Linked DNA regions of Saccharomyces cerevisiae S288C. Changing the gene in region 1 together with any one later gene gives a genetic interaction. Each region holds a gene or a part of one and is shown in the gene's direction. Other genes may lie near its edges.

The links. A genetic interaction does not mean that the proteins touch.
Region 2: mutations in MCH5 (region 1) and ATG45 together harm fitness more than expected from each alone (negative genetic interaction), as found in Saccharomyces cerevisiae (one large-scale study listed by BioGRID).

What each region holds. Positions count from the first base shown.
Region 1 is NC_001147.6:888,376-894,252, reverse strand, and holds MCH5 (riboflavin transporter), read left to right. Parts: upstream 1-2,820; coding exon 2,821-4,386; downstream 4,387-5,877. Other genes in the region: SLY41 (Sly41p), read left to right, coding at 161-1,522; RRG7 (Rrg7p), read right to left, coding at 4,503-5,231; BIL1 (Bil1p), read left to right, coding at 5,503-5,733. UniProt on the Saccharomyces cerevisiae protein: Riboflavin transporter involved in riboflavin (vitamin B2) uptake. Does not act in the transport of monocarboxylic acids across the plasma membrane.
Region 2 is NC_001141.2:308,102-310,885, reverse strand, and holds ATG45 (Atg45p), read left to right. Parts: upstream 1-1,714; coding exon 1,715-2,284; downstream 2,285-2,784. Other genes in the region: Zn(2+) transporter YKE4, read left to right, coding at 460-1,500. UniProt on the Saccharomyces cerevisiae protein: Autophagy receptor for glycogen that facilitates the sequestration of glycogen assemblies into autophagosomes as part of bulk autophagy; the autophagy of glycogen (glycophagy) is stimulated during prolonged nitrogen starvation and during sporulation.

The sequences.
Region 1 (5,877 bases):
GAAAAGAACATTAGACTACACGTGCAGCATATACCAACTATTTTTATTATATGCTTATATATGCAAAGCTTACGATATTTAGAGAGTAAGTGGATTGACGATAAAAGTGTTTAATAAGGAGCCATTCGTTTTTATAAAGGAGAAACAATACCGGCCTAACATGATTCAAACGCAAAGTACAGCGATCAAACGACGTAATTCTGTTCATAAAAACCTCTTTGATCCATCACTGTATCAAATACCAGAACCACCACGTGGGGGGTTCCAACACCAAAAAAAAGAATACAGTAAGGAGACATTCAGTAATCAAGTCTTTGGATATGATATTACTAGCCTTAAAAAAAGATTCACGCAACTATTTCCTAGTAATATACAAGGGTACTTACCTGAAGTTGACCTAAGAATAACCATTATTTGTTCTATATGGTACGTCACGTCATCTATTTCAAGTAACCTATCTAAAGCCATTTTAAGAACTTTCAACCATCCCATAGCTCTCACAGAATTGCAATTTCTTGTTAGTGCTGTTCTATGTGTTGGATTTGCTTCCATCGTAAATTTATTCCGACTACCTCGTTTGAAGCATACGAAGTTTTCAAAGGCACTCAATAGTTTCCCTGACGGTATCCTTCCTGAATATCTCGATGGCAATTTCAGGAGTTCTATCCTGCACAAGTTTTTAGTTCCCTCAAAGCTGGTTTTGATGACCACTTTCCCTATGGGAATATTCCAATTTATTGGTCATATCACATCGCACAAGGCGGTATCTATGATACCAGTATCACTAGTGCATTCCGTGAAGGCATTATCCCCAATAATAACAGTTGGCTACTATAAATTTTTCGAACATCGTTATTACAATTCCATGACTTATTATACCTTGTTACTTTTAATTTTTGGCGTTATGACTACTTGCTGGTCAACACATGGCAGTAAGAGGGCTTCAGATAACAAAAGCGGATCTTCATTAATCGGGTTGCTTTTTGCCTTTATTTCCATGATAATATTTGTAGCACAGAATATTTTTGCAAAGAATATTTTAACCATCAGAAGGAAGGTAGGAATACTGCCGTCTTCTTCTACGGATGACGTCACGTCGAAGGAAGGGCAACCGAGTCTAGACAAAACAAGATTTTCTCCATTGCAAGTGGATAAGATTACCATATTGTTCTACTGCTCCTGCATTGGGTTTTCTTTAACCCTATTACCTTTTTTAACCGGCGAATTAATGCATGGCGGTAGCGTTATCAACGATTTAACGCTAGAAACAGTAGCCCTTGTAGCGATTCATGGAATAGCCCATTTTTTCCAAGCAATGCTTGCTTTCCAGTTGATCGGTTTACTATCTTCCATTAATTATTCGGTAGCAAACATCATGAAGAGGATTGTTGTTATATCCGTGGCACTCTTTTGGGAAACAAAGTTAAATTTTTTTCAGGTGTTTGGTGTTATCTTGACAATTGCCGGATTGTACGGTTATGACAAATGGGGGCTTTCCAAAAAAGATGGACGTCAGGCATAATATGAAGTAATACTATTGAGTACAAACCATCATTCAAGGTAGGACACTTAGTACTATATCAAATATATAATCAAAAAAAAAACCCTCGAAGGTCTTTTTTATCTTATTTACTGCTACTACCTCTGTTGCTAGCATTACTTCAAGATCCTAAACTGTTACCCCACCCCCGCACCATATCAAGGTTAAAAATCCGATGTGGCGGTACTTATTTGGTTATTTATCTCATTTACATTAATATGCGTACGGGAATGGCCTTCCGCTCCGTGGAGGATAAAGTGCGGTCATTTTATTATTTTTCGAAAACAATGGCTACAATCCCTTGATTATCTCACATGCGATTACAAAGCAAAAGAGAAGATTCGCATGCAGGAGCCATACACGCGTCTTTTTTAAGGTATTTCCACGATCTCGCGGAAAAACTTATAGAACGAACAACTATTGCTTTAACTAGGAAAGAATAAGAAAAAATAGCGATCATACTAGAACCCACAGTCGAGGCACAAGGATTTTGAGGATTGCTCTACCCCTAATGCCTATTGCTTCGATTGCTGAAAGCGGATCTACTCCTTTTTCCAAGTACTCGAAAGGTTGAGAGAAATAAAAATAGACTAGTCGACGGACAATGCCAATAAAGTTTGGTTATACGAACTGCTTTAACCAAATTAATATTGGACAGACTCCGTGTTTTTTGGTTTTGCCCTTTTTTCCCGCTAGAACGACATTGTGTTTCTCCAAAATTATTCCATCTTTTCCCTCGTGTTAACAATAGAGTCACAACGCACCTGTTATTATGATCTCGGGGGTGGCTTCCCGAACATCGTCGGTTGAATACTGCGCTTTGGCGTCCGAAAAAGAAAAGATAGGAAAGGATCGAATTTTTGACATTTTTCTCAACCTGCTGCGCGCTGTTCTATAGACGTTTGAGGCACCTGAAAAAGAAATACAGCGGAATAATTACTGTTCTGCTGAATCGCCCTAGGCGGTATTGTATGAGGCTAATAATAGAGAGACATCTCTGAAAAGAAACTAGAGGAAAATTTTTCAAAAATATCTATTTTGCTCAGAGAAATGAATATAATAAAGAAGCTATTTGGTTAGATCTCCCAGTAGTTACGGGGACTAGATATATAAACTGCTTGATGTACGTTTGGAAATTCTCAAATAGCAATTCTCTCTTCAAAGTTAGTGAAGGATAGGTTATATCTGTAAAAACATACTAAGATCTGAATAACTAAGATCACGGGGGCATACTATCGATTAAAAAGCTCTGATTTTACTATAGATTAAAAAGAAAAATAATGAGCTCAGACAGTTTAACGCCTAAAGACACTATAGTTCCAGAAGAACAAACCAACCAACTGCGGCAACCTGATTTAGATGAGGATAGCATACATTATGATCCAGAAGCTGATGATTTAGAGTCATTAGAGACTACTGCCTCTTACGCGTCAACGTCGGTGTCGGCAAAGGTGTATACCAAGAAGGAAGTAAATAAAGGAACTGACATTGAAAGCCAACCACATTGGGGTGAAAATACCTCGAGCACGCACGACAGTGACAAAGAAGAAGATTCCAATGAAGAAATTGAAAGCTTCCCGGAGGGTGGATTCAAGGCTTGGGTTGTGACATTTGGTTGCTTCTTGGGTCTAATTGCATGCTTTGGTTTATTAAACTCAACGGGGGTCATAGAAAGTCATCTACAGGACAATCAATTATCCAGTGAAAGTGTTTCTACCATTGGTTGGCTGTTTTCTTTGTTTCTTTTTGTTTGCTCTGCCTCATGTATCATTAGTGGTACTTACTTTGATAGAAATGGATTTAGGACAATTATGATTGTGGGCACGGTTTTTCATGTAGCCGGTCTGTTCGCTACCGCCAACTCTACTAAATATTGGCACTTCATACTGTCCTTTGCCATTGTCTGCGGGTTCGGTAATGGTATTGTACTGAGTCCCCTAGTAAGTGTTCCCGCCCACTATTTTTTTAAGAGACGTGGTACTGCATTGGCAATGGCCACTATTGGTGGTAGTGTGGGTGGCGTCGTTTTCCCAATTATGTTGCGTAGTTTCTTCTCTATGAAGTCAGACACTGATCCAACTTATGGATTTGTTTGGGGCATTAGAACTTTAGGATTTTTAGATTTGGCTTTGCTAACTCTGTCAATCATTTTAGTCAAAGAGAGGTTACCACATGTTATCGAAAATTCCAAAGATGGTGAGTCACGTTGGAGATACATACTCAGAGTTTATATTCTGCAATGTTTTGATGCGAAGGCTTTCCTGGATATGAAATATCTTTTTTGTGTCCTGGGAACGGTATTTAGTGAGTTATCCATTAATTCAGCTCTTACTTATTATGGATCATACGCCACCAGCCATGGAATTTCTGCTAATGACGCCTACACCTTGATTATGATTATAAATGTCTGCGGCATACCCGGGAGATGGGTTCCTGGCTATTTGAGCGATAAGTTCGGTAGGTTTAACGTCGCAATTGCAACTCTACTCACTCTATTTATCGTCATGTTTGTTGGTTGGTTACCATTTGGTACCAATTTGACAAATATGTACGTTATTAGTGCCCTATATGGATTTTGTTCTGGAAGCGTTTTCTCCTTACTTCCTGTTTGCTGTGGCCAGATATCTAAAACGGAAGAGTTCGGTAAACGTTACTCTACAATGTACTTCGTTGTCGGTTTCGGTACTTTAGTCGGCATTCCGATAACAGGTGCCATTATCTCTATCAAGACAACGGCCGATTACCAACACTATATTATTTTTTGCGGTTTGGCAACTTTTGTAAGCGCTGTTTGCTACATAATTTCGAGAGCATACTGTGTTGGCTTCAAGTGGGTCAGATTTTAAAAAGTAAGACAGTGCCCTTTATAGATCTTCAAAAAAGTAATGCAATAATATTTTCTTTTAGGAAATGTGTAGATAGACTATTTAATTAAAATTTCCTTATGTTTTTTTTTTTTTTTTTATTTTTCCGAATTAAAGTCACTATTTTTGTACAACTTCAACTTCAGCCATTCAGAAATCTTGCAATCTTGCATTAACGTAGAGGCGTATGAATTCTCGTAATAATTAATTAGTTTTCCTGAATTGATTAAGTCAAAGTGCCCGTCAGTCTTCTCTTTCAGCATCTCAACACGTAAATATATCAGAGGAAGCGTGATGTTATTGATAAGATTTAAGGTATCTTTTGTTAACATATGAGGGGAACACATAATGCATACTGTTTTGTTGCGTTGACTATGTGATACTAGTGAGGTGAATGTTCCTACTAACTCACGGAATTCTCTAGGAGATAATTTTGATTTAGTGAAAGCCTTACATTGGACTAGTACTTTCAATGGTTCAAAAGTATGGTCGATTATCCTATACTTTAAAGGTTTCAATACGAAGCCATTTTGCGAGTTCGTTCTTTTTATGTTACTAGCCATTTCCAAATTGGGCATTAACGATGAAATTTTCCAATAAATATCATCTACTGGCCAGCTTCCCTTTATGTCTACGCCACCATCATGGGCGCCACCGGTTTTTCTCAACTTTGTCATTCGTAGTTTCTCAGATAACTCCCTCATCACCGTATATTCATAAAGATTTCCTTGAAACACCGTAGAATGGGCGACAGCAGCATTTTGTTTCACATATGCTTGAATTGCAGGATTATTGAGCCATCTTCGTCCCAAATAGTTTTTTATCATGTTTTATCATGTTTTACCGTTCTTTACCGTGTTTTATATAGGAAGAAGCTTTAGAAATTTGCTGCAGTATTTCGCTTCCTGGTCGTTAATTTCTATGTATCGATCAACCATGTTGTTTTGCTTTTCAGTTGGCCTCGATAAATAATTTGAAAAAAAAAAAAAAAAAAAAAAAACTAGCAAACCAATGAAGCGGCTTGGCTTACAGGTACATTTTACCTTAGCGCTAAATGATATTGTAAATGTGACTTGCATCTTCTGAAGGAGCACTGTAATGAGTACTGAAAAACTGGAAGCTTCGGAGGAACCACAGGCTCCCTTGGCCAATACATCTGAGACTAACTCAATAAAGGGAGATACAGAAAATATTGTAACCGTGTTTGACCTGGCAAATGAAATAGAAAAATCACTAAAGGATGTTCAGAGGCAAATGAAGGAAAATGATGATGAGTTTTCACGCAGTATACAAGCAATTGAAGACAAGCTTAACAAAATGAGTCGGTGAGAGCAGGTGAGTAGTAACATGGAAACTTCTAATGCTTTTATTCATAAAAAAGAAAACGCGTGCTATCGCGTAACTAGGTTGCAATTAACTACAGATCGTGCCAAATACGTGCTTTTTTATATGGTTTAGAAATATTAATCAACT
Region 2 (2,784 bases), on another chromosome or scaffold:
AGGTGAGAAGTTTACTTATCGTAAGAAGTAGCTTGAAAAGCGTACTGAAGAAGTACCTAATCATAATGTTCTAATTTTGTTTTATTAGTCGTGGTGTTCTTTTCTTTTTGTTTCAGCGTCGTTATTTAAATTTTATGTTATGGCCAAAAAAAGAAAGTTTCTAAAAATAAATGAAGAAAAGGATACAACTCAAAAAGTTATCATATAAAAATACTAAAGTAGGTCTGTTCAGATATTTCGTTTCTGAATTTCTTCTAATACACAATTTATACGTAATTTAGTAGAATTTCTGCGGAGAACCAAACTGTGCCAGTTCTTCCAATATATAGTTTTCCGGATTATTATTCATTCCCTTTCCATAGAACAGTAAACTGAAAAAAAAAAACGTCTTAGGAAAAAGGTGGAAAAGGAAAGAAGAAAATAAGAATGAAATAGAAGGAGAACAGAAGCAGAAAAAGCATGAAGGCGTCGCACATTTGCTCTTATTTGCTAAGCATTGCACCCCTAGTGGTGTCCCATGGAGTACATCATAATCGAGATCATGGCCACGAGGCAAACCATGAGTCCAAGCAAAGTTTCTTGATTTTGAAGCAAGAATCCATTTTTTACTCTCTAGTTTGCTTTCTGCAGAACCACCTCTTTGTCCTGGGACCCCGTTACAATGCGATTGTGGCTATCCTAATCATACAACTTATGCCGTGTCTTTTCGTACTGTTTGTTCCTGGACTGCGCAAGAACGATCGTGCCAGCTTGACACTGTCCTTACTAGTTTCCTTTTCTCTAGGAACACTCCTGGGTGATATTTTATTACACGTGATACCTGAAAGTCTCAGCGGCGTAACTGATGTCACAATGGTTGGAGGAGCCATATTTCTGGGGTTTATAAGCTTCTTGACTCTGGATAAAACGATGCGTATTCTGTCAGGGACGTCCAACGATGACGGCAGCATACATTCTCATTCTCATAGTCATACTCCACAACAAACTGCAGAGAAGAAAGCGGGCTTTAACATGTCTGCGTATCTGAATGTCATATCCGGCATTGCTCATCACATCACGGATGGCATAGCGCTGGCTACGTCATTCTATAGTTCCACACAAGTTGGCATAATGACCAGCATAGCTGTCACTTTCCATGAGATCCCTCATGAGCTAGGTGACTTCGCCATTCTGCTTTCCAGTGGGTTTACGTTCCCACAAGCGATAAGAGCCCAAGCGGTGACAGCTTTCGGCGCCGTCGTTGGAACGTCCATTGGCTGCTGGATGAACGAAATCGGGAACAACAGCCATAAAGCAACGTCTTCATCCGCGAACGCATCTGAACTTATGCTGCCGTTCACGGCGGGCGGCCTCATATACATAGCCACTACTAGCGTTGTACCGCAGATCTTACATAGCTCCGCACCCGATAGCAAGCTTCGAGAGTTTAAGAAGTGGGCCTTGCAGCTAGTCTTCATTTTTGTAGGATTTGCCGTTATGGCGCTCATGGATGAGCATTGATTCAGCTTTGTATTACTTGGCGTGCAATATACGTACCTTTATAGTAAATATCCTTGTTGCCTTATATGGTACCGACGCTTCCCCGGATTTCAATTAAGGCAAAAACAGGCGATAATCAGATCAGATCAAACATTTATCTCTGACCTAATACAAAAAAGAAACACAAACAAGAACAGTATTGATCGGTTTAAAGGCGTGCACAACTGTTTTAAAGATGTCCAATTTTTTACTTGTGATCCCTGAAGACGTGATCAAGGGCTGCTCCAAGGCAGATAAACTAGTTGTTACAGGAGAATTCGATAACTGGAGACATTCCGATTATGTTCTGCAGTATGACGGCAGCACACAGAACTACAGGGTGCAAATTCCCAGAAGAAAGGGCCAACGTAGCACCATGTTCAAAGTGGTGATAAACGACAAAAAATGGGTCACTCTCAACTACTTCGACACTGTCACAGACAAGTCAGGTTACACCAACAATATTCTCCACTTTAAGGACAATGAGGCCAGTCAACTCATGGATATACCTCTATCACCACATACACGGTCCAACACCGCAAAAGGGAAACCGGAAGACGACTCTTTAAATGATTATGTCAACTTGTCGTCACATAGTGACCTAAGCAGCACAGAGGAGATAGTGTGCTGGAATTCTGATATGGAGGACGAAAACATGGATGCAACCATCCAGTGTGATTTCCATCAGGCGTTCAATAGCAGGAAAGAGTCTCTAAATGGGCTAATGTGCATTGCCAAGAAAGTCAAGACGTACTGGAACAAATAGACAACTTTTTCAAACATGTTTCTTTTATGACAAATATATATATTTCAATTTTCTCTTTTCTATCTAGCTATGGTTTAGATATACATATTTTTAATAGATTTATTCCTTTTCACTTATATCACAAGGTGAGCATCTCATTTCGTGGAATAATCATCGCTGTTAGCCGCCGAGGTACACAGGCTCCAACAGACAACGGCAAAAGATCTGGCATTATTACTGCTTATGTAAAAGAGGAAGATCAATTTAAAAAAGGAAAAGGAAGGGGTTTGCGTATTGGTACATTGCAAGCAACTAAACGTCTAATCGACTCATCCTACGAAGCTCTGTTTTTAAGCATTTATTGTCTATCCTCATCAAAGCAAAGTTTCGTAACGAAAAAAAAAGCAGCCTGCTACCGATAGGAGAGTAAATTAAGGTCAGCTAGACGATTAGCACACAAGTTAGATAGTTGTGCTTTATCCAGCACAGCATGAAGTAAAGCTCGTACTTATCCTGCCTAG